2 linked regions of the Tribolium castaneum genome follow. The protein of the gene in region 1 purifies or fractionates together with the protein of each later gene. This does not show direct contact. Links are inferred from orthologs where the notes say so. Each region holds a gene or a part of one and is shown on either strand. Other genes may lie near its edges.

The links.
Region 2: the proteins of Pex5 (region 1) and ACOX1 purify together in Homo sapiens (affinity purification with mass spectrometry; 3 studies listed by BioGRID, with this or other methods). This does not show direct contact. The link is inferred for Tribolium castaneum from reciprocal best matches to the Homo sapiens genes PEX5 and ACOX1.

The regions. Positions count from the first base shown.
Region 1 is NC_087395.1:23,159,624-23,172,367, reverse strand, and holds Pex5 (peroxisomal targeting signal 1 receptor), read left to right. Parts: upstream 1-6,390; 5' UTR 6,391-6,492; coding exon 6,493-6,682; intron 6,683-6,735; coding exon 6,736-6,869; intron 6,870-6,916; coding exon 6,917-7,108; intron 7,109-7,159; coding exon 7,160-7,316; intron 7,317-8,848; coding exon 8,849-9,377; intron 9,378-9,561; coding exon of another isoform or gene 9,562-9,565; coding exon 9,566-9,731; intron 9,732-9,778; coding exon 9,779-9,936; intron 9,937-9,984; coding exon 9,985-10,189; 3' UTR 10,190-10,254; downstream 10,255-12,744. Other genes in the region: ubiquitin-protein ligase E3B, read left to right, coding at 1,025-1,216, 1,269-1,704, 1,756-1,927, 1,977-2,095, 3,653-3,971, 4,024-4,587, 5,243-5,372, 5,419-5,583 and 2 more; RanBP3 (ran-binding protein 3), read right to left, coding at 10,671-10,787, 10,838-10,933, 11,067-11,878, 11,931-12,005, 12,126-12,144; cdm (importin-13), read left to right, coding at 12,606-12,744.
Region 2 is NC_087403.1:4,256,311-4,268,844, forward strand, and holds ACOX1 (probable peroxisomal acyl-coenzyme A oxidase 1), read left to right. Parts: upstream 1-6,746; 5' UTR 6,747-6,882; coding exon 6,883-7,009; intron 7,010-7,562; coding exon 7,563-7,722; intron 7,723-8,042; coding exon 8,043-8,211; intron 8,212-8,262; coding exon 8,263-8,386; intron 8,387-8,437; coding exon 8,438-8,682; intron 8,683-8,730; coding exon 8,731-8,891; intron 8,892-8,940; coding exon 8,941-9,103; intron 9,104-9,150; coding exon 9,151-9,485; intron 9,486-9,531; coding exon 9,532-9,784; intron 9,785-9,841; coding exon 9,842-10,102; 3' UTR 10,103-10,247; downstream 10,248-12,534. Other genes in the region: kinesin-like protein KIF11-B, read left to right, coding at 1,398-1,549, 1,595-3,092, 3,141-3,311, 3,362-3,658; MAPk-Ak2 (MAP kinase-activated protein kinase 2), read right to left, coding at 4,888-5,112, 5,164-5,374, 5,423-5,498, 5,550-5,756, 5,806-5,870, 5,919-6,058, 6,108-6,260. UniProt on the Homo sapiens protein: Involved in the initial and rate-limiting step of peroxisomal beta-oxidation of straight-chain saturated and unsaturated very-long-chain fatty acids.

The sequences.
Region 1 (12,744 bases):
TTTGTTTTAGTGAAATCTTGTGAGTGAAAATTACACCATTTTGGATCTAATTTTGTTTTTTTTTGGAACAAAATTTCACTCAAAAGCGACCTAAATCCAATAAAACAAAGAAAATAGCATTTATTTATGTGTCTTTTACGCGTATTTTACGGTTGTTATTAAATTTGTCGTAGAATTTTTTATAAAAAGTCGTTAATTTTATTATTTGTCGTGACTAGAGACCGGATTTTTTTAGTCTAATTTAGCTTGTTTTTAAGAAAATTTTGCCAAATAATTGTGTATCTGAATGAAAAACCTGTTGAAATGTTCGAAAATGTTTTTTTGGTTTATTTTAACGGAATCTCCTACAAGAATCTGAAAATTTACTTTTAAATATTTAAACAACTTTTATTTATTTGACACAAAATTCCACTCAACGGCGACTTAAATCCAATAAAACAAACAAAATAACATTTATTTGTGTCTTTTAGGCGTACTTTGACATGATCTTACAAAAAAATAAAAAATCAGGTGTTAAAAACGAGCGAGACAAACTATAACAACATCAGTTGTGATATAATTTGGTAATTTTTCAGCCAGTTTTGATAATTTTTTTGTAAAAGAAGACAAGAACAAGACAATTTTCGGTCAAATTTAGTGATTTTTTGGCTTGTTTTCAACAAAATATTGCGAAATAATTCTGTTTCTGGATGAAAAACCTGCTAAAACTCTCCAAAAAAGCACAAATTATTATGATTTATAATTTTCAAAAACGACCTAAACGGTTATTTATGTGATTTTTGGCGCTTTTTGAGAAGATCTTAGAAATTAAGACGCGAGAACTCGGTTCAAAAACAAGTTAAATTGTTGATTTTTCGTGATTTTTTTGGAAAAACTCGGTTTCTAGATGCAAAACATGGTAGAACAGATACACAAGTAATTTCAAATCGTCTTCGTTTTCTGCAGTTTTTGCACTATTGCCAACTTAATTTCAAAACCAAGAGCCACTTTGACCAGAAACAGTGATTAACTTTGTAATTTCTAGTGCATATCTACGATAAATAACCACAAATTGTTTTCAAAAAGCCTCGAACTGTTATCAAGCCAGCAGTCAATGCGAATCGTCTTCAACACCCTCGAAGGCAGCTACGCCCTTTGCCTCCTTGCAAACCTCCTCCAGTTGGCTTACATGGAACGAGACGCTGCCTTAAAAGACTTAAGTTTCCCAACTTTCACAGTACGGCCCCAAACCCCCCCAAGAACAACAAAAAATCTGTATCAAATTCCAGGTTGTTGTTACGGGTTTACTCGAAAGTTGCCAAAATTACGTAGTCAATAAACAATCCAACCTCACCCACTGGCACCCAGTGCTGGGTTGGTTCGCCCAGCCCATGGACCCAGCATTAAACGCGGCCATGCCGCACGTAAAAATCCAACTCAATCTCTTATGGAACTCACCGATTGTTCAAATTCTATTGGGCAATCTTTTACAACAACTTGTCCTAAATGTGGACTCGCCCCAGCCAAGCTCGAGTCCACAAAACATGAATTTCACTGGATCGAATTTTTTTAAGAAGGTTTTGGAATCTAGAGGCAACAAAACCAACACTCAGAAAAATTATCGCGCGCTGGGAAGTCCCGAAGTTCATCGAGTCGTGTTAGTGTGTTCGCTGTATCATACGGCTTTGAATACTTTGACTCAACTACAGTTGGATATTTTAACAGGTTTGGCGGCGAAAATGTTAGCAAATTGTGGAAGAAAAAATTGTATTTTAGGTTTGTGTTATCAGAATTCAATTTTGTACGATTTGTGGCTGTTCTTGTGCTCACTTGGACCAAATTGTGGGCTTAAAACGTTCCTAGATCATCTTGCAATTAACACAAAGTGCACAGCTCCCGAGTTTCAAATGTTGCAATTATTTTGTGATTGCATGACTCATTATGTAACGTAAGTGGCGTTTTTCTGCCCTAGAACGCAGGTAATGGGTTTATTTTAGGATTCTTGATGATGTGGAAATGTACGAGCAACAAAACCCGTTTAAATTAACCGACTTTATTGTTTTATCTTCGTTTTTAAACACGTTTCTGTACAAAGCCGTCTTAGGGAATTTATTTGGTAAGTATATTTACAAATTTCAAATCTTGTCCCTATTTTACTCATTGTTTCAAACTTAATTTAATTTTTACCAGAAATAGCAAGTTGGACAAACTATTTCAACAAAATTTTATTTATTGACAATGTCATAACTAAACTTAATTTCTTTTTTTTTGCTTATGTGGTCACTTTTTTTAAGTTATTACATACAATTTTTCAATAATTGCCTTAAAAATCACTACAGTCGTAGATCGTTAATGGTGTTATTTTTGAGCACGTTTTTAAATTAAAAACGGATTTTCGATAAAGCAAGGAAAAAATATTTTGCCTGTTCCAAGCGTTTCAGTGCATTTTCAGCCAAAAACGCATTTATTTCTAGAATTCTTTACAGAAATAAACTGATAAATCGTCGAAATGGATAAAAAATGATGTTATATTTTGGTCTTTTTTGCGTATTTAGTCAGGTTTTTGAGATACTCATTTTTTTGTAAAGAAAAAGATAAAGTTATGCGATTATTTCCTTCATTTTTGTCCAAAAAAAAACCAAAAAATTATCAGATTAGGTCGAAAATTATGTGGTTTTTGCCTATTTTTTGCTTCTTTTGAGCAAAATGTAGCACGTTTTTTGTAATTTAAAATTTAAATGTTTTTTAATCGAGTGTTTTCACCAGAAATGCGATTGTTTTGAGAAACTTCATCACAACTAGTTGATTATATGCCCTGTTGGGATGAAAGTGGTGCTATTTTTGTTTTGTTTGAACATTTTTTATTTATTATTTGAGCTAAAAGCAGAGTTTACATTATTTTTACATTTTCCGAAAGTTTTTTTTTAATCTGAAGCATATTTATTGCTCGAAGTTTGTCAAAAATGACACGAAATTAGGTCGAAGGTGGAATTATTTTTGTCCTTTTCGAGAAATTAACCACCTTTTTGAGTTAAAAATGCCACTTACCGAAAATTTTCTAAATTTTGTTATAAAGTACATAGGTCTTAATAGCCAATTTTCATTCTTTTTTTTTGAAGTTTTCAACTCGTTTTTCGGACAGAAACAGGTTTATTTTTTAAAACTCTCAAATGGAAATCGAACATGGTTTAATTTTGCCCTTTTTTCGAGCGTCTAAGTAAGTTTTTGAACTAAAGATTCAGTTATAACTCGTGATATTTTTCTAAACTTGGTAATGATTTGGTTAAACTTATCATTTTTTGGGTTTTCTGAATTATTTTTAGAAATTTCTGAACAGTAAACCAAAGACTACCAGAAAAAGTGGAAGATGGTATTTTAGATTTTTTGAGAAGGAAATCTCAATTTCCGAATTAGTTCTCAATTATGTAATAAACTACGTAATCTTTTGATACGTTTTTTTGGTCAAAAATGCGATTATTTTAACGAATTTCGTCAAAACTAACGCAATAAATGACCAAATTAGGTCGAAAGTTGTAGTATTTTTCCCTTTTTCGACTGTTTTTTTGGCAATAAAAGCTATTATTGCTCGAAATTTCCCAAAAATGAGTCAAAAAGTCACGAAATTAGGCCAAGAATGTTTGTTTTTTAAAACCATTATTTTGATTTTTTGCAGATTTAAAGACAATTCAGACCAACACGCTGTTCCAGTCCTTACACACTTTATTAATGTTGTTGTATCGGCGAGACTGTCGCAGAACGTACACTCCTCAAGGCCACTGGTTACTTAAAGATGTAAAAATATCGACATTTATGGCCGATCTAGAAAAGGGCCGAAAGGCCCCTCAATTGCTCCTCCAAACAATGCCACATATCATACCACACGAGGATAGAGTGCGACTATTTCGAAAATACATAACAAACGAAAAAACCGTTTTGGGTTTAACCGAGTCGGCTTGTGCCTCTCCCCAGTCGACTCTGATCACAGTTCACAGGTAAAAAAAACCACTCAATTTTCGTGTTTTTTTTTAACGAAAAACAATCCAGGTCTCGAATTGTTGAAGACGGCTATCGCCAACTGGCCCTCCTCCCGCCCCAAGCCCTTAAAGGCGTAATAAGGGTTCGTTTTATCAACGAGCAAGGTCTAGACGAGGCCGGGATTGATCAAGACGGCGTTTTTAAAGAGTTCCTTGAAGAGAGCATCAAACGTATTTTTGACCCCTCTCTAAATTTGTTTAAAGTAACAAGTGAGGAACGTTTGTACCCTTCGCCCACTTCATATTTGCAAGACAACCACTTGCAATTATTTGAATTTGTGGGCCGGATGCTGGGCAAAGCCGTCTATGAAGGAATTGTAGTCGATGTGCCTTTCGCTTCGTTTTTTCTAAGCCAGGTTTCAGGACAAACAGCTCAAGCTTTGTACAGTTGCGTCGATGAATTGCCGTCTTTGGACCCGGAGTTGTACAGAAGTTTAAGTTATGTGAAACATTACGATGGAGATGTTTCCGATTTAGACTTAACGTTTAGTTTAGACGAGGAATGCATGGGGAAGTTGGTCACGCATGAGTTGGTGGCGGGGGGCAAAGCCGTCCCCGTGACAAATGAGAACAAGTAATTATTTTGTTACTTTATTCACTTATTTTATTACTTTTGTGTTATTAATTCCTACTTTATTTGAAGTCCAGCTTTGGCACTTTTTGTTGTGATGCTTGGTTTTTGTACTTTATGTTCGTCCCCAAATTAGCTTCAATGATTTTATGCTCTACTTGAAAGTGGAGAAGTAATTATTATTTTGATTATGGCAGAGTGTTTTAATAAAGTTTTTTTGTTTCGAAGCAAAGAATCGTTTGTGAGGCATTTTTTTATTTTCGGAGTTTTTTTCAAAGGATAAATAATAATAATAATTAATAATAATAAAACTGAACATAGGATAATACAAATAATGTTATATGTATTCTGCAATGTTCAGTAAAATAAAATCCTTAGAGTATAATTTTTTCTAAGTGAGAACTTATAATACGGACGAAGTTTTTATGAATAATAAAGAAAGTTTGGTTTAGGAAAAGATAAAAAAAAGAAAATTCTTATTAGTGACCTTTTTATATGAAGATATTTAATGTATTTCCTTTGGAGTGTCAGACGTAAAAAGTCTTGTCTTTCTTTATATTTCATTTTTCAAATTTTTGTTTTTTCTGTTGAAATTACCATTTTTTCTCCTTTTTTCCACGAATATTTTTGTTTTAATTCCAATGAATTGTGCTTTTAGGATCAATTACATCCACTTGATGGCCCACTTCCGAATGCACGTGCAAATCAAGGACCAAACCAGCGCTTTCATTCGCGGCTTCCGCTCGATTATCAACCCCGACTGGTTGTCGCTCTTTTCAACACCTGAAGTGGGTTCAAACCGTTGAAAACGCTCTTTTAACAATAAATTTCCAGTTGCAACGCCTTATCTCGGGTGATAATGTCCCCTTAGACATGAAAGATTTGCGCAAACACACTCAGTATTACGGCGGTTTTCACGACTCGCACCGCGTGGTGGGTTGGCTGTGGGATATTTTAGAAAAGGATTTCACCGAGGAGGAGAAAGGAATGTTCCTAAAGGTGCCCCCCGTAATTTAAAGCCCAATTTTCCTAACTTAGGTAATTGCAGTTTGTGACAAGTTGTTCCAAACCGCCGCTTCTAGGCTTCGCTCATTTGGAGCCGCCCTTTTCGATTAGGTGTGTCGAAGTTGGCGATGATGAAGACACGGGAGACACGATCGGTATTTTTTTTGCAATTTGTTAGATTTTGGAAAAATCTGGAGGGGATTTCAGGAAGCGTCTTTCGGGGGTTTTTCACGATACGGAAAAAGGACCCACAGAATCGCTTACCGACGTCTTCCACTTGTTTCAATCTTTTGAAGCTGCCCAACTACCAAAAGAAAAGCACTTTGAGGGAGAAGCTGCGGTACGCTGTCACTTGCAACACTGGGTTTGAGTTGTCGTAATTGTTAGTGGAAATGGAATTTCGACATATGTGACACCCATATCAACCTTTTGTGTTTTAATATTACGATGATCCGTGTTTTTTTTCTCCAAGCCAAATATTTTATCAGATTAATTTATTTTAACCCAATTTGTTGACTATAATCACTTCCATGTTGTGATGTCTTTGTTGTATTTACTTATGTAATAAAATATATTTTAACGAGTTGTTTCACTCCCGGGGCTTCCCTCAATTTTTGGTGACTATGACATGTCACTATACGCACCAAGTTGGCGCCGCGTCAAGTCTTTTAAGCCAAACATTCGATCAGATTTACGTTATTTTAGCCAAATGTTGTGTTTAATTAACTAAATATTAGAAAAAAAGTTTTATTTATCAGTTATCACGTTTTTTGGTGATTGTGGCTTGCCACTGGTGCCGGTTGGCAGCCGTGCCAGTGGCCTTGTCAGTGTCACTTACGTCAATCTGGAATTTGTTTTGATAAAATGCACTTGGTTGTGTAAACTGGGCTAAAAACCGAAAAAATGGCATTTAACCCCTTGACCGAGGCCGAGTGCGGCCAGAAGAACCCCCTGGCCCGCCTGACGTCGCACCTGACCCACGATCATGCCTTCGCGGAGGCCCACGGGCATGCCTTCCCCAGCAGCTCGGACCAACTGGTCGAGCAGTTCCTGCAAGAGACGAAGTCGGTGCCCCAGAGCTTCCGGATGGACGGTAGGGCCCCCCCGTGCGTTAAAACCCCCGTAATTCACCTGTGACGCTTCCAGATTTGATGCGAGAAATGCACGAAATTGAGTCTCAAAGGTCGGCGCTGCCGCCAATTCCCGCCTCCACGATCAAGGACCAGATCCACGACGACGCCTGGGCGCAGCAGTACATCGACGACGGGAAAATCTTCAATGTAAATAGGCGCTGGTTGTGAGTTTTGCACTGTCATTTGTGTTCAAGGACAATGTGAACAGTGAGGCGATCTGGACGGAGATCCTCTCGCAGGAGCAGAACAATGCGGCTGTGGTGGACGACTGGGGCACTGATAATTTCCCAGAGATACTGCCAGGGCCCAGCAAGGTAAATGCCTCGCAGCAGAGCGCTCGGGAGTTTGTTGAGGCTGTTGATGACCCCAAATTTGTGTATTCGAAGGTCAGACGTTACGTCAGGGTTTGGGGACGGTAAATAATGAATAGGTTTCAGTTTATGAGATTCATGAAACAAGTCGGCGATGGTGATGTTAATTTGGAGGACGGGAGGCTGACGGAGGAAGAGGCGCAGTCCTGGAGCAAGGAGTTCCTCCAAAATAACAACGAAGCGGAGGCTGAAAAAGTCGCCAAAAAGTGGGAAAAGGATTACGGTAACCATCTTTTCCTTAAAAAGTTTTTATTTATTTTTTACAAAAATGTTAAAATCAGTAATAAACCAAAAGGCTTGAGCTAGGGTTTTGAGGTTTTGCAAATATTGGCGATTAAAAATTATCGATTATACAGAATAATATCATATATCTTAGGTAATGAAAAAAGACATCCAACTGAGTTAGAAATCGTTTTGATAAAAAATTGTTTAAGCCTTTTGTTACGAGATATAGCTGTTCAATTGTTAGATTTTTGAACTAAGTTTTTGAATGTAGTTAACATGATTACCTATCACTTTATACTTTCAGAACAAATTATCGATTTTTTTAATATATTATTACCAGAAAAAAAAATAGTACAAGGTAAGTAAAAACCAAAAAGCGAATTTTATTAAATTTCGAGATCATAAATTAAATAATTATCAAGGATTTAAATTAAACCAGTTTCTTTTTTTTTGTATTATTTTCTGTTTGTGTATTTGTTTTCCACATTTTATTCACATGAAATACAAAAAAGTTTAATTTCCTATGAAAATTTCATCTGGATTCAATTTTTATTTAATTGAAAAATACATTTTTTTAAATTAATTAATAGTTATTAATAGCGCTTTTATCTTTAAAATCTAGTTTTTATTTTAATTTTTATGTTCTTGACACTTGTTTACTTTCTTTTTGATAGTTTATTTATAAAAATAATAATAATAATAAATCAAAGCTTTTTATTAAATAAAATTGAACAATAATAAACAGATGAGAAGGCGCAGTCTAGCTTGAAGGTATTCAACTTACCTTCAAAGAAAAATTAACAGAAAATATAAAAAAATTAAATTAAAATAAAATAAACAATATAGAACTTGAATAAAAATAAAAATCGGAAATTACTTAAGAACTGAAAACTAAAAAGAAAAATCACTGCCAGTCTCTCAGGAACAAAGGCAAGAAGAAAGAATTCTTTAAGAAAATAAAAAAATACACAGGAAAAAATTCCTTTATGTTTATTATCAACATCACTTACCTAACTCAGTTGAGCAAAGTTAATTATTAAAAAGGAAATTTTTAATTTTACTCTCGAATGTAAGCATTGAATTTATTAAAACTTTCCGCTGTATTCGTTATTTGCTGTAATTACGTTGGAACCAAGCGTCATCCAAAAAAAAAAAAATCGCCGTACAAGTGTGCCATTAAAAAAATATTTTTTAATAACTCGAAACCTAAAAGAAATTTCAAAAAAAAATTCTTGAAAAATATCACATTTTAAAGTCCAAATAAATAAATACAGGCGAGTGATATAAAAAAGCTGTTTCTAAGATATGGATTTTTTGTTGTGATAACGCATTGTTAACAAACTTATCCGATTACACAACTGTGCAATTTTCGCTCAGTTTGTGAATAATGCTCTTATCCCACATGAATGTTAAATATTTAATATTAAGTTACAGAAGTCTTGATTTTTACGAGTGATATCAAGAAATTTTATTTGTTTTAATACAAAATGAATGATTAGGTCGAGAACTAGCCTTGAGCCCTAATTTCAGAAGACGATTTCAATTCCAAATACTGGAACAACCTCCAGGAAGAGCTCAAACAAACTCTAGAAGGCGCCGAATCTAGCGAAAACACTTGGGCGAGCGAATTCGACTCCTACTATACTGCCCCATACAACGACTATACCTTTACCGAAGAAAATCCCATGTTTGATATTCCTGACCCTTTACAAAGAGGCAAAAAACTGCTCGAAGACGGCGATCTGCCGTCGGCTGTTTTATGTTTCGAAGCGGCCGTAAAACAAGAGCCTGAAAACAGCGAAGCTTGGCTACTATTAGGCAAAACCCAAGCGGAAAACGAACAGGACTGTAATGCCATACCGGCATTGAAAAAGTGTATAGAACTGGAACCCAATAATTTAACGGCGCTCATGGCCTTGGCTGTCTGTTACACCAACGAGAGTTACTACAGTCAGGCTGCACAAATGTTGCTCAAATGGCTCACAAATAACCCGAAATATAGCGATCTGGTGCCACCCGATTTTCAACTAACTGGGCAAGTTACAAGCTTTTTACAGCCGTAAGTGAGGGGGCTGGCTTTGAGTGACTCTTTGTAAATATTAGTGCTAAGCTCAGCTTCTGTAATAACCTTTGTGCCTTCAAAGTTTCGGTCAAAGTGGCCGCGAAATTAAATTGGCAACATTTTATTTTAAGTGTTGCCAACTTAATTTAAAAATTCAAACCGCAATTAATTTTACGATTACATAGGAACCAGCAGCGATTCATCCAGGACTTATACATAAAAGCCGCTTTACGACAACCTGTGGATATTGATTACGAAGTACAGTGTGGTCTCGGCGTTTTGTTCAATTTATCTGGAGAGTACGAAAAGGCGGCTGATTGTTTCCGAGCCGCGCTGTCCGTAAAATACGACGTAATAACGGCACTGGTTTAGGGATTTTTGTTAAGTTGGTTTTGCAGGACGCCAAATTGTGGAACCGTTTGGGGGCGACGTTAGCCAACGGGTCCAAATCGGAGGAGGCTGTGGAGGCGTATCACCGCGCACTAGACCTAGAGCCTGGTTTTATACGAGCGCGGTATAATGTAGGAATAATTTGTATAAATTTAAGGGCCTATAGGTGACTTTATTTATTTGGAGTGTATTTTTTTTGAGAGGTGTTTTACAGGGAGGCCGCCGAACACTTTTTAACTGCTCTCAACCAACAGGCGAGGGGCAGGGACGTAAAAAATTCACCCGCAATGTCGCAGATGTCGGACACGATATGGTCCACGTTGCGAATGTGTATCTCTTTGTTGAATAAGGTGGAACTTAGGGCGGCAGTGGATAATCGGGACTTGGAAACGCTGAATAAGGCTTTCGATATTGTGTAGAATTGAGATTGTGCAGATTGTTATTTTTGTATGCCCCAAAAAATATACTGTTGGTCTTTTTACAAGTTTCATTGCTTATCTCTGTCCCCGTTAAAATCATTATCCCATTGTCTGTAACTTATTTAACCAGAACAACGGAAAATGATCATTTTTTGCCTTTTGTTTAGGTGTATGCAGTTGTAAGGGGTTTCACTGTAGTCATGTCAGCTTAATAATTGTTTGAATTAAATAGTTTCATTTTTGTGGGTAGCAAAAGGGCTTGTACTTTTTTCAAAGTTTTATTGCTTATCATTACAAAATATAACACATCCAATTAAATGATACTTTTAGATTTTAAATAACTAGAATCGATGAGCGTGACAAAACTTCTGTAAAAACGTTACTGTTTAAAGATTAAAACTTAATTTACATCACATTTGTAGTTTTATCAAAATGAACTCTGCACAATGGTACCGTGAAAATGTTTTATTTAGTAAACAATTTAATTGCCCCCTGAGTCTTTATCTACATTAAGTTTTTTATGTTTTTGGGCTGCTATTTCTTTCTGCACTCTAAGCTGGATCTGTGAGTACAGTTGTTTACTATCTTCAATACTAGCCTGAAACAAACGAGCAATAAAAAATTATTTAAAAAATCACTTTAATTCACCATTACGAGGAAAACTTTGATCACACCTTGCGGGTCCATCGCCGTGAACCGCACGCTTTTCTCACTAGCCTGTTCTACAGTCATTTCCGCCCAAATCTAAAAAATTACCGAAATTAACTAACCAGCTTTAATATATTTTAATGAAACCAGTTTTATTTTTTGATTAAAGACAAATGTGGAAAAATTTTGAAAAAATTCATAGGCCCGGGGAAATAACCTGGCCACTCACTTTGGTGTTCAGTATAACCCTCCAAATCCCCGTTGTCCGGAAAAGCAGCCGACTTTGCGCGTGCCCTTCGCCCTCAAAGTCGTTCAGCCTTAAAACCCCTCGGCCCCTCTCCTGCCAACTCCCAGACGCCTTATCAAACGCGAACAATTTACAATTAATGTTTAAAATATTCGTTTCGTTCTCTTCCCCCGTGATAATTTCCACCTCTTCGTACTTCCTCTTATTGGCCCTCGACTCCTCGTACTCCCTCGCCGACTCACTCAACGACTTCGTTTCTTTACTGGTAATGGTTCCATCAGTTTTGCCCTCACTCTTAATAGCGCTGCTAAAGAGCATTTCCGACGTCCCATTGGAATTTAAACTAGTCGAAGGTTTAGGTTCGTCCGCTTTCGCGTCACTGCCCACAACACGGTCCTGTAGGTTCTGTCCAAAAACGAAGGAAGTTGTCGAGAGGGTTGTGCTGGCCGTTGTTACAACCGGCTGAGTTGAGTTCGTTTTTGGTTCTGTTTGCACCAGTGGTACGAATTTTGGTGTTTCCCCGTTCAATTGAACAGTTTTGCTCTCTTCCTTGGCGCCATCATTTGTTGGTTTAGCAAACGGGTTCAGTCGACTCGGATTTAGAATAACAGCCGGTTTTGCGGAATTGTTAGCGTTGTTTAGACTCAACTGAGGAGGCTTCAAAATGCCACGCGTTGCCAATTTGTTTTGTGAAGTAGCGAACGGGTTTGTTGTAACACTTGTTACTGGAATTCTATCAGGAGTGCACGTTTTGAATTCTTCGTTCTTGGCGTTTTTCTCGTTGTCACCAGCTTCTGGAACGGGGCACGTGAAGCAAACACGAGCAAAGCGAAACGTTTGGGTTACCTGTTTTGTCTTCTTCCGCTGGTGCATCCACTTTCATTGTTATTGGGGGGTTAAGGCTACCACTATTGTCCAAATCTATAAAAGCGACAAAATCAAAACATGTACCTCGCACTAGCGCAAATCTAAACCAATTCTGACCGTTATCACAACACTGATAACAAAAATTGAAATTATATGTTTATTAAACAAACTCACTTTCTGTGGTATCCGCCATTTTTCTAATCAACCAGCTGCCAAAAGAGTGACGGCTGTCTATGCAACCAACACCACACGAAAAACACCCTTTTCCTTGCCCTTTTCCAGCCTTTGGATGATTTAAAATAATCAATAAACACCGTTTTAAACAACACTAAAAAAAATGTTGCGCTTAAACAATTTTATTAATTTTTTTCCAAAATTGTAATTTTTGGGTTGGCGACAGTGGGGGCGCCTTAACCTCGTCCAATTCGTAAATCGACAATTTGTGTTTTTTATCGTGGCAAAAAGTGCACAAAAACGCCCCATTTCCCAGTTGGTGTCAGCCCCCTTGGCCCCCAGCGCGTGTCGTAAGACTGCTGACGAGCGCGTATTTTTGACAGTTATCGACGTAACGCCGACTGTCACTCCGTAAAATGTAGCAAAAGTAAAAACAAACTCGTAATTAATTCGAAGATTTGGTTTAAATTCGCATCAAGCATGGAATACACGGCGGAAAATTTGGAAAAAGCCGTGACCTTATTTTACCGCACCGAAGCGGGGCAACAGGCGGAGGCCCACCAGTGGCTGACCGAGGCCCAGAATTCGCCCCAAGCGTGGAGCTTCGTGTGGGAGTTGT
Region 2 (12,534 bases), on another chromosome or scaffold:
TTACGTTGTTTTTTTTTTCTTGTTTTTATTAAACTAGAACGAAAAATTCACCAAATTTGGTCGAAATTTATCTTTTCTAAGCGTTTATTCAGCAAAAACTCGATTATTGCGCAAAATTTCTTAATAAGTGAGCCAATAAATCGTAAAATTATGTCAAAAATGGCATTATTTTTCAAGTCTGAGGATTTAAAAACGTGTTTAAATCCTCAGAAGTTGTCATTTTTGGCATAATTCTGTGATTTATTGGCATGGTTATTAAGAAATTTTGCGCAATAAATGAGTTTTTGCCGAATAAACGCTTAGAAAAGATAACTATTTTGGAAATTTTTGACCGAATTTGGTGATTTTTTTCGTTCTAGTTTAACAAGAACAGGAAAAAACTTGATTTTTGGTCTAAATACGTATTTAAATCTTCAGAACTGGCAAAAATTTTGTCATTTATTGGCTTACTTTTTAAGACATTTTGCGCAATAATTAAGCCTTTGTTGAATAAACGCTTAGAAAAGGTAAATTTTTCGTCATTTTTGACCAAATTTGATGTTTTTTTTTTCGTTCTAATTTAATAAAAACATGAAAAAAACTTGATTTTTGGTTTAAAAACGTGTTTGAATCCTGAGAACTTGTCATTTTTGACATAATTCTATGATTTACTGGCATGGTTTTTAAGAGATTTTGCGCAATAAATAAGTTTTCGCCGAATAAACGCTTAGAAAAGGTAAATCTTTGGTCATTTTCGACCAAATTTGGTGATTTTTTCGTTCTAGTTTAATAAAAACAGGGAAAAAACTTGATTTTTGGTTCAAAAACGTGTTTAAATCCTTATTGACATGGTTTTTAAGAAATTTTACGCAATAAATGAGTTTTTGCCGAATAAACGCTTAGAAAAGATAAATCTTTGGAAATTTTTGACCAAATTTGGTGATTTTTTTCGTTCTAGTTTAACAAAAACAGGAAAAAACTTGATTTTTAATCTAAATACGTATTTAAATCTTCAGAACTGGCAAAAATTTTGTCATTTATTGGTTTACTTTTTAAGACATTCTGCGCAGTAATTAAATTTTTGCTGAATAAACGCTTGGAAAAGGTAAATTTTTGGTCATTTTCGACCAAATTTGATGTTTTTTTTGTTCTAGTTTAATAAAAACAAGAAAAAACTTGATTTTTGGTCTTCAGAACTTGCAAAAATAATGTCATTTTTGACAAATTTGTGATTTATTTATTGGCTTACTTTTTAAGAAATGTCAAGTTTTGATAATAGCGGGATGCGGTTTTGACCAAAATTATTTTTTCAAAAAAAAACAGAGTCGTAAGCTGTGTTGTAACATTTATTATTGTGGTCAATATTCACTATTTCGGGTGGAATACATTTGCAAGGGCTATCACCATCGCACTTTTAGGACCCGTTTGTTGGGATGATCCCAAGGGCTGCTGTTGATATTCTCGATAAGCTGTCTCAGTTAGGGGTTGAGTGTGTCGTTACTGCATCCTTTGTTGAGTTATACAATGAAGAAATCCGTGACCTTGTGGTTAATGACAATTCTGGCTTGAGGTAAAAATTGAATGGTTGTGGTTTTTGCTCATTTGTCCGATTTAGCGTCCATGATGATCCGAATTACAAGGGGGTGACACGTGTTAAGGGTGTGACGGAGATTCGAGTAAAAAATTGCACTGAACTGTTTGAAATGTTAATGGTTGGAGCGAATAATCGTAGCGAGCCAAGTTTACATTGTCACACAATTTTCACCATTGGTGTTACGATTTTCGAATCATTTAAGGGTGAAAAGATAGTTAAAACTGGCCGAATTCACTTGATTGATTTAGCTGGAAGTAATTTCCTTGCATCGTGTGGTGCGTTAGTCATTAATAAGGCGCTTCAAACTTTCAAAACAGTGATTCAAGCCCTCGCTTCTGAATCTAAACATGTTCCCATGAGAGACTCAAAACTGACCCGAGTTTTGCAAGACTGCCTCAACGGCAAAGGCAATACTTCGATTATTGCAACAATTTCACCCTGTAGTGACGCATTTGAAGACACAGTCACTACTTTGGACTACGTGCAAATGGCGCGAGGCGTCTCCACTAACCCGGTCCCCAACGTAATAAACATACGCAGAGATGATGAAGTGAAGAATTTAGAAGACGAAGTTAGTTCTCTACGCCGGGATTTAGGCACAGCCGGGTCTTTCAGAGCGGAGATCGAAAACTACGCAAAGTTGATGGAACTTAAAGTAAACCATGAAAAAGCCGTCGCACTTACGGCGGAAATAACAAAATTAGAGGGCGTATGTGAGCACCAAAAGTATTATCCTGATACCGGAGAGTTGGCGCAAGAAACAACCCAAAAATGTGAACCCCAGGCCGAGGCAAAGAATGCGGAAATTGCCACAGAAATGGTCCACGTTTCTTTCGAAGCCTTGAGCGGGGTTGAGTTCGCTGTCGAACTCTTCCAAAACGATGAGAGATCGAATTTGTCTGATATAGCCACAAATAATGAGAAGGTTAGAGAGGTCACATTTATGAATTTGGGACGCTTGAGGACTATCCTAAGCAATGTTTGCGCATTTGCCGATTCGCTAAAATGCACGTTGGACTCTTTGTTGAGCGCGTCGGAGTTCACCGAAACTAGCGCCAGGGCGAATTTAACGACCATGCATATCGAGAATCATTCAATCTTGGCTGATAATTATCACAGAGTGAAAGCAACTCTGTGCAAACTTCAAGGTTATATAGAATCTACCAAAACATCATTGGCGGAGGCAACGTTTCAGTATGAGGACGATGTCGGGATGCAGTACTCCTTACTGAGCGACATGTACGAGAGATTCTACACGCTACTGACTAATTTACATGCAACCATGCAAAAACGTTACTTGCGAATTCAACATTTAATGAGCCTCAGTAATCAAAGACTGCTATTGTTGGACAAGATAACTAAGAATTTTCTTAACACCCAAGAGGATTTGACTTTGGAATTGGAGACCATGTGCTACATAAGGGGGTATGCTGGTCAACTGACCGAATTGTTGCAGGAAAAAGCTCCAGGAATCGACAATAAGTTAATTACGCTTTTTACTAAGTTCAATCAGGAGACTGTAAGGTTTTAACCATAAATTGCTTTGGTTGTTTACATTTTTTTGTAGGCACATCTTCATTTGATTTCGCTTCAGAGAAGATTTGAGGCGGCTAAAGAAGAAATTCAGCAAAGCCAAACAGTTTGCTTGGAGGAAGTTGCTCAAAATCACAGCCGACATCAAGACTACTTTCGTAGTTTCTTTGATGCTATTAGAAGAGGTGTAGCGACTCATAATGAGGTACGGATTATTGATTTTGAGTGATTTTGCCTAAAGATTTCGTGTTGTAGGGAGTTGTTGCGACCAGGGATGGTTTGTCATTTGAAGCTTACATGATGGTAAGCCATCAATATAATATGACTGTGGACCGCACCTCACAGATCTCAAACTCACTTGATGACATGTTCTCGAACGCAAAGGATTTAACTTCGGAGATGGAAGATATTTCTACTGAAACCGTTGCTAAACTCAAACAGTTGTCAGAAAAAGTTACGGTTAATTCTCCGAAAGAAAAGAAAGAAGTTAAGAAGACTCTCCTGCAGGAGAAGCAAGATAATTCAAACGAGCCACCGAATGAAAATCAGTAATCCGTACTGATTTAATCGTTCTGCTAGTTTTAGGTTGTTACGTTACTTTTTTTTTATTTATTTGTAATGAAACAAGTTTTGCTGTTTGTGTTTGCAAAACTTGCTAGTCGAATTGGTGAAGTTATAACTCTCACCAATAGTACTCAAAGAGTATTAGAAGTTCTTACCGGAGAACTTTCGCCTTTTGATATTTATGTGCAATGAAACGATTTTGCTAAGACTAGATACATTTCAGTCAAGGTAAAAAAGTGATGGTAGTTTCGCTGATTGGTCTAAAGCTTTAAACGATACCTAGTCAAATGTTTCACTGTGCAAACCTTAGTATTATATTGTTTTTGGTGTTAATGTTCCTTCTTGCAATGTTCCGTATGTTTTTTTAAAACATACCAATTAAACCAAAGTTGAAAATGTGTTAAATATAGCTTTGCCGCTTGTTTCGCAAGCTATAAATCCTAACTAGTCTAACTAGAAGTTGAAAATGTTACCATTATATTTGAATTTCTTAATATTATATTGTTCATGATGTTCTGTTCCATGTTTGTAATGTTCTGATTGTGTTTGGACTTACAAATAAACTTAAAAAAAACATTTTTTTTTATTTTGTCTATTTAATTTAGTGCGATATTATAAAATTTAAAACGAAGCTATACGTCCAATTTCTTTCATTTTATTATTTTCTTAAAAAAAAGTAGAAAAACACTGCGTCTTATTTATAAGACAAACTCGTATCGTAACCTTGCAACTGAAAAAATTGAGTACATAGAGTTATCGTTAGGAACAATTTAAGTAACTTTATTAAGAGTTTATTAGCAATTTACATTAAAATAGCACTCATCATGTGCTAGTAAATCGTGAAAATGATTTACGTTTTTTCTAAAAAAATATTTAAATCAAGATGCTTATGAAATCGAAATGTCTGATAAATTTTGTAGTAAATTTTTAATCAACAGTGACACTTCTCTTGAACAGGAAATTCCAAAAGCACCTTCAATCGTAGCATATAATACATTTTCTTAACATTATGTTGTTGCACCGTGTGTTGTATTACTATTACCAAATAATAGTACTACAAACGGTGTAATACAACTGTAACTAAATTAATACAATTTTAAAACGTTAAAATCCTATTCCATTAGGCACTAATCATTCAGCTAAAATCGATTTGTTTGTAAACATATTAATCAAAATGCACGTTCCGTGGTGATTTGAAGAAATAAAATCACTAGACGTTATTTCTGCTCCTTTAGCGTCACTTGATTCGCCGAACGCTTACGCCTTTTATTCAGCAGCGGGTTATTTGAATTTTCTAGCGTTTTTATATGCACTTGGTCATAATCCACTCTCATTGTGGCCAACGAGCGCGTCATTTCCTCCTGTACTTCAGGCCACATCTCTTCACCTTCTTTTAGCATTTTATGAGTATGCAAGGGGGTTTGAGGCACAGCTGTGTATTGCTAGAAAAATGAAAATAAAAGGTGGACCCTTGGACTAAAACAGTCATTTACAGCAATCCATCTATTGCTCATGACTTGATCAATTGTCAGTCGCTTGGCCGGATCCACGTTAAGCATACCATTAATAAGGTCTTTAGCGTCTTGACTAACATTTTGCCACTCAGGATTAGGGAATGTGTATTGGCCCATTCGTATCCTATTTTTCATTCCTGGCGAAATCGCCAAGCCATGATTGCTATAAAATGGAGGGAACCCGCACAACCTGTCTCAATCACTTAGTACAACTCTTAACAAAATTACTTATACGCACAAAATGTACATAATGACTCCTAAAGACCAAACATCACAGCTCTTATCGTATTTCTCAGGCCCTAAAACTTCAGGAGCTGGAAATAATTAGTAAGATTGGGAGCCAATTGATTGGGGAGTTAACGAACCAACATAATATGGTGTATAACAAGGCGTCTGAAGGGTGTCCTTCACTAAAGTTTCCTTAGCAAAGCCGAAATCAGTTAACTTAAGTATACCGTAAGTACCTTTCTTTGAGTAAAGTAAATTCTCTGGTTTTAAGTCCCTGTGTGCAATGTTATTATCGTGTAGGTATTTCACCGCAATGCATATCTCATGCATGATCTGTGCCGCCTCTTAAATTAATAAACGTGTCATTTATCGAACTATTACCCAAACGCATACCTCTCTCAGTGAAAGCCCCGTCAGGTTTATCCTGAATCCGCTGGAACAGCTCTCCGCCCTCCATGCTACAACAAAGGAACTTACTCCCGAATTAGTAAAAACCGCGCACACACCATTCCATCACAACTAGTAAACAAGGGTTGTTATTGTATTTATTCTCATAGACGTCGATTATATTGACTATGTGGCGGCAGCCACTGGCTTGCCAATGCAAATCGACCTCCCTTCTAGCCTTCTGGCTCTCGACAAGTATCTGAAACGTTCAATTGACAAACTGCATTGAGCAACTTACAACAGCGCACCTTTAGAGCGAACTTCTCTTTTGTAGCCTTAGAAAAACACTCGACGACTTTACCGTTGATCCCGAGGCCTAAAACCGTCTTAGTAATGTCGTAATCGTCAGTAATTGGCGTTTTCTTCGGTGTCCTGTGACTTTGCCGCATCTCCCTATTCATTTTTTACTTCTTTTGATTTCAACCAAACATTTATTTACAAGTCCACATTTATTCATCAAACAATCCGAAAATTTTTGTTTACTTAGGGTACATAACCAATAAAGGAATCATAAGGATGTGACATAATTTGCACAAAAAACGACGCATCTGCGCATTCGCCCCTGGCTCCTGACACGTCGCTGGCCATGAAATTCAAACATTTTAGTGGACTTCAATTACCAAAAACGAAACTAATTCATAAAAAAATTAATTACATAGTCAAATGAGCAATAAGAGTGCAAAGTATACTTCTAGTCACCTGAGCCACAGCAAACTATACTCATTTGTTTGGCTTAAGTGCGATCTTAGACTTGGTAGAGGGAGAGGGACGTGTCGTTTGGACGCCCCGTCTCTTTCTAGCTTGCTGGGCGCCCAATTACGCTCTCTCTTTCTCTGGTTAAGAAGTCTGAGGTGACGAGTTTGTTGGGTGAAATATCATGCGCCCTCTGTAGGCAGGAGTGGCAGTGGTGGCAATAGATTTATGATTAATTACCGTGTGTAGTGATGTGGTAGTACTGTCATAGAGTGTCGGTGATAGTGGTTCAAAGTATAATCTTTTGTTTATTTTGTGTATTTAACGAAAATGGACAGAAAAAAATCAGTAAATCCTGATCTCATTAAAGAGAGAGAAAAATGTACATTCAATACTCTAGAACTGACACACTTACTGGATGGCAGTGCTACAAAAACAGAGGAGAGACACAGTAGAGGTATGAACTTTGCTCTTCTTAACGACAAATTAATTATATCATCAATGACTTCTCGAGAAATCGATCGAAAAAATTAAGCACAAAATTCCAATGACACCTGCAAAGCCAGTTGTTCTCATTGGATTGGTTCCTGATTGCAGAAGAACCAGTCTTTTTGAAATATTTAAGTCAGGTTTTGTAATTTTTTAATGTCAAGTTATCTGTAAAACATGCTTAAACACCTTACACCTTGCCGTCGAAATTGGAAAAAATAGTCAAATGTAATAAACTGCAATTTGTACCAATTCAGTTTGGGGGAAATACTGCTATAGGTCATCGGGTCACGTCGGCTATTTACGAAGGGCGCGAACTTCGAATCGCCGAACGCTTTTAACGTTGTTACCTGCCGTGTGCAACCGATAAATGACTGTTCTCCCGATTAAATAACTAATAATAGTACGTGCTTTCACAAGAGAGAGCAACTTTCTAATTTCGCTTCCATGTAATTAAGTAACGAGTGGGTCCCGCCATTGTGGGCAATTAAAATTTTGTTAATTAGCCCCGTAATTTTCAGAAAAATTTTTCCTCGAAGACCCGGAGCTACAATCGAACGTCCCACTGGAGTATTTAAGTCACAAGGAGAAATATGAAGATGCCGTACGAAAAGCTTGTATTATTTTCCGAAAAGTACAAGAGCTCCAGAACCAAGGCAAAGGCGGTATGGACAATTTCAGGTATGGAAGGTTCCGACCGTCTCGACGCCGAATCAAATGCATTTATCTAATCACAATCATTGTCAGATTTATTGAAGCAACTAATTTTAATACAGTGGAGAATTCGCTTCATCATTGCGTTATCTGCAAGCGTTGCGAACTTTGCCGTGTAATTTTATAGATATCTGAAACAACTTTGTTTGTTTCATTTTTTTGGGTTCATGACGCAACTTTATTACATTTGAGTCATGAATATGTAAGAAGGTTGTTTTTTAAAGCCCGATTGGCTTGTAAATTTAAACAAATGAGAGTAGTTTCCACGATTCCAAATCGCTTTGCAGAGAAATTTTGGGTGGTCAGCTAGGCTCTGCCATTTTAAAAGACGGCAATCCATTGACGCTGCACTATGTTATGTTTATCCCGACGCTGATGGGACAGGGAACGTTTGACCAACAAGCCGAATGGATCCAAAGGGCATGGAATTGTGATATTATAGGAACTTACGCACAAGTAATTATCCTATAATATACGCAACTTTTATTGTCTTATAATATATTATAGACTGAATTAGGTCATGGCACATTTATCAGAGGTCTTGAAACCACAGCCACCTACGATCCCGCGACAGAGGAATTTGTTTTGCACAGTCCAACCCTCACTTCGTACAAATGGTGGCCGGGAGGATGTAAAAAAGTAAAAAAAAATCCAAAAAATTAGCTTGACTGTAATTTTGTAGTGGGCCATTCCGCGAATTACGCAGTTGTGGTGGCCCAACTGTACACAAAAGGCACTTGCCACGGAATCCACCCTTTTATAGTCCAGCTTCGTGATGAGGAAACGCACGAGCCTTTACCAGGCATTAAAATCGGAGAAATTGGCTGCAAACTTGGCATGAACAGTACCAACAACGGCTACCTGGGTTTTGACAACGTCAGAATACCCAGGATTAACATGTTAATGAAAAATAGTCAAGTTTTACCTGTAAGTAACATTATTAGCTTCGATTTTTTTACATGGGAATATCGTTAGGATGGCACTTACGTTAAATCGCCCAGTAGTAAGCTAACTTACGGAACAATGATTTTCGTCCGAGTTGTGATAGTACAGGATGCCGCACACTACTTGCGAAAGGCTGTAACCATAGCAACACGCTACAGCGCCGTTCGCCACCAATCACAAATCAAACCCGAGTAAGTCGCCAAAAAAGCCTACTTGTTCATTTTGTCTGTGGTGTTTCAGTGCACCCGAGCCCCAAATAATCGATTTCGTGACGCAACAGTATAAGTTATTCCCGCACATCGCCACTTATTTTGCATTCCAGTATAGTGCCTCTTGGCTGTGGGACATTTACAACAATGTCACCAACGAGCTGGAGTCCGGTCAGCTCGAGAGTTTGCCTGAAGTAAGTTTTCTTGAGCCACTTTAGTCCGTTGAGTAGCGCATTTTAAGCTCCACGCTATTGCCTGTTGCCTTAAAGCTGTGAGCAGTGCCGATGCAGCCCAGGGTGTGGAAATTTGCCGGTTGGCCTGTGGGGGCCACGGCTACATGACCTCGTCCAACCTGCCCTCAACTTACGGCCTAGTGACGGCAATGTGCACTTACGAGGGCGAAAACACCGTACTTCTGTTGCAAACATCACGTTTTCTTATAAAGTCGTGGCAGAATCGTAACAAATTGGATAAGTTGGCGACTGTGGCGTACTTGGGCCGCAAAATGAGCAAAAGTAACCCGTTTGAAAAGTCAGTTGAGTGGATTATACACGCACTGCAGCAAACTGCGGCAAGGTGGGTGTTAATGTGGTTACTGAAGGTTTGCTAAATTTGATTGTAGTAAAATTGAACTGGCAAATAACCGTATAAATGCCCGGGTGCGCAATGGAAAGTCGTACGAAGATGCCTGGAATGAAACTTCGATTGAGTTGGTGGCGGCTGCCGAAGCTCACTGTCGGTGTTTTATTGTTACAACGTTTTACAACACTGTTAACGGTTTGAACGTCTCTAAAGAGCTCAAAACTGTTCTGGTACAACTTTTGAACTTGTATGGCGTTTATACGGCCCTTAGATTAACAGGGGATCTTTTTAGAGTAAGTATTTTTTTTTAATTGGCGCAGTCGGTAGGTAATACTCTACGTAATGTTTAGTTCACGAATATCACCGGACAAGATGTGGAGACACTCCAGGACTGGCTGGAAGAACTCTTGGCCCTTATACGCCCCAATGCAGTGGGAATAGTTGATAGTTTTGACATTCGTGACGAAGTTCTAGGGTCTACCTTGGGAGCTTATGACGGAAACGTGTACGAAAGACTGTATGAAGAAGCATCCAAAAGTCCACTCAATTCCGAGCCAGTTAACAAGTCATTCAAATCGTACTTAAAACCTTTCATGAAATCGAACTTGTAAATTTTGAAAAAATATTTAGGATAGCTTTGGAATAGGGGACCAGCGGTAGTTAATTGTATGAACAAAGTCAAAGTTGTGATTGGTGTTTGTCTTGTAAAAATGTTGAGAGTCATTATGTTTGTTAATAAAAAATTAAACATTGAAAGTCTTTTATTCTTTTCTCCAAAACTATAACTATACACAAATTTGCTAGAGTGAGTTTAAAATTTCGAACCCCGGATCAGGTGTAACAATTTTTCTATGAAAAAAAGTGTAGAAAAGGTAAGTAAAACAACACGCAAATAAAAATGAGAGATTGAAAGAACACATAGACGAATAAACGTAAATCGGAGCATAAAACTGAGAGAAATAAGAAAATAATGCGGCAAAAATGTAAAAGTACGTAAAGGCGCTAAATTGTAAACGTACTTTTTGTTTTGAGAGAAAAAAAGACGAACGTAAAGGCGAAATATAACTTCAAACTTTAGTTGACTTATACGCCCGGTATGTTTTGATGGAATCTGATGAAAAATTAGAGAATTAAATTGAAAAAAGTTAAACAAAATGCTTTCTCGAGCTAATTCGCCGACTTTTGAACTAAATGTATTTGCATTTTAGGAGAATTATTGCAATTATATAGTTAGTAATGTTGATTTAATTAAAAAGTTTGTGTTAAAATATCTGCAAAAGACGGTCAGTACCTAGGGCCTCGTGGCCCAGTGGTATAAGCGCCACTTTCGGCGGGGGAGGTCGGGTGTTCGCACCCGGATCACGGCAACAATTTTTCTATGAAAAAAAGTGTAGAAAAGGTAAGTGAAACAACACCTAAACAAAAATAAGAGATTGAGTAAACACATAGACGAATAAACGTAAAGCAGAGCATAAAACTGAGAGAAATAAGAAAATAATGCGGCAAAAATGTAAAAGTACGTAAAGGCCCCAAATTGTAAACGTACTTTTTGTTTTGAGAGAAAAAAAGATTAACGTAAAGGTGAAATATAACTTCAAACTTTAGTTGACTTATACGCCCGGTATGTTTTGATGAAATCTGATGAAAAATTAGAGAATTAAATTGAAAAAAGTAGAACAAAATGCTTTCTCGAGCTAATTCGCCGACTTTTGAACTAAATGTATTTGCATTTTAGGAGAATTATTGCAATTATGTAGTTACCCGGATCACGGCAACAATTTTTCTATGAAATAAAAGTGTAGAAAATGTAAGTGAAACAACACGTAAACAAAAATAAGAGATTGATAGAACACATGGACGTATAAATGTAAAGCATAAAACTGACAGAAATAAGAAAATAATGAGGCAAAAGGTTGTAACATTGCGTAAAGGCGCCGGGGAATCGATTGGCACCAAGAAAATTGCCAATATCCCAATAGTTTTTTAGTTATGAATTTTTTAAAATTACATTTATCTGCAATTTTCTCGAAAACTATTAGTCGGAACCGTTGCCCGGAGCGACTCCGGGTTTAATGATTTTTTGTTTGTTCCTGTAGTCTTACAGTTTCCGAGAAAAACGCAAAAATTGTTTCCATTTTGCGTTATTCCATTCCAGATATTAAGAAAACCATCGATGTATTAGGTCCAAAATGGAACCGCTAAGTATCTGTTCATTCATAGACTACTAAACATTTTTGAAGGAAATTAATAGCTATTTACACTCGAATGCGGTAAGTCACATTTTACAGCGTGACAACTTTGTTTGAGGCACGAGCCTGAAAGGCGAGTGCCTTATTAGTTGAAGCGCTGTAAAATGACTTAACGCATGAGATTTGTATAAAACTTTTTGGCCGACAAGCTTTTAATATTATTCTTTATAAAATAAATAAAAACTCAAAGTCACTTAAACATAGTAGGCTTTGGCCGCCATGTTAAACAACTGAAACAGTTTGACAGTTGTTAAATTTGTGAAAATCAAGCGACGATTTCAAATTTAATTATATCACAAATCACGTTTATATCTATCAACCATTATCAACCAAGATGAGCGACAGTGGTGAAAGTGATAGTTTCACCGCTACACCTCCGGAAATAAGGCAACTTGCAGAGGGTGCTACAAAACAATTATTGCCTGAAAAATCGAAGACAAGGTACGAGGCGCAATATAGTACGTTTAAAGATTGGTGCAAAATAAAAAATGTGAAAAAAAATGTAAAATTTGTGGTTCCCAAACGTATGTATAGGTGGCGCTGCTCCGGGGGATTTATATTTTCACTAATTAAATATACACCATGGTCGATTGAATTAAATAATTATAGGTAACAAGTATTTCGTTATACGAACTTAATTATGGTAAGCACGGTTTGTATCTTAAACATGTCTAATCGCAGTGTGAGGAAACTTTATGGGCGAAGGTTAATGCATGGGCGCGCGCTTGCAGTCAGATAAACCTTTAAATCGAAATGTTGTGGAATAGCTTACATTGTTGATATAAGTTAGGAAA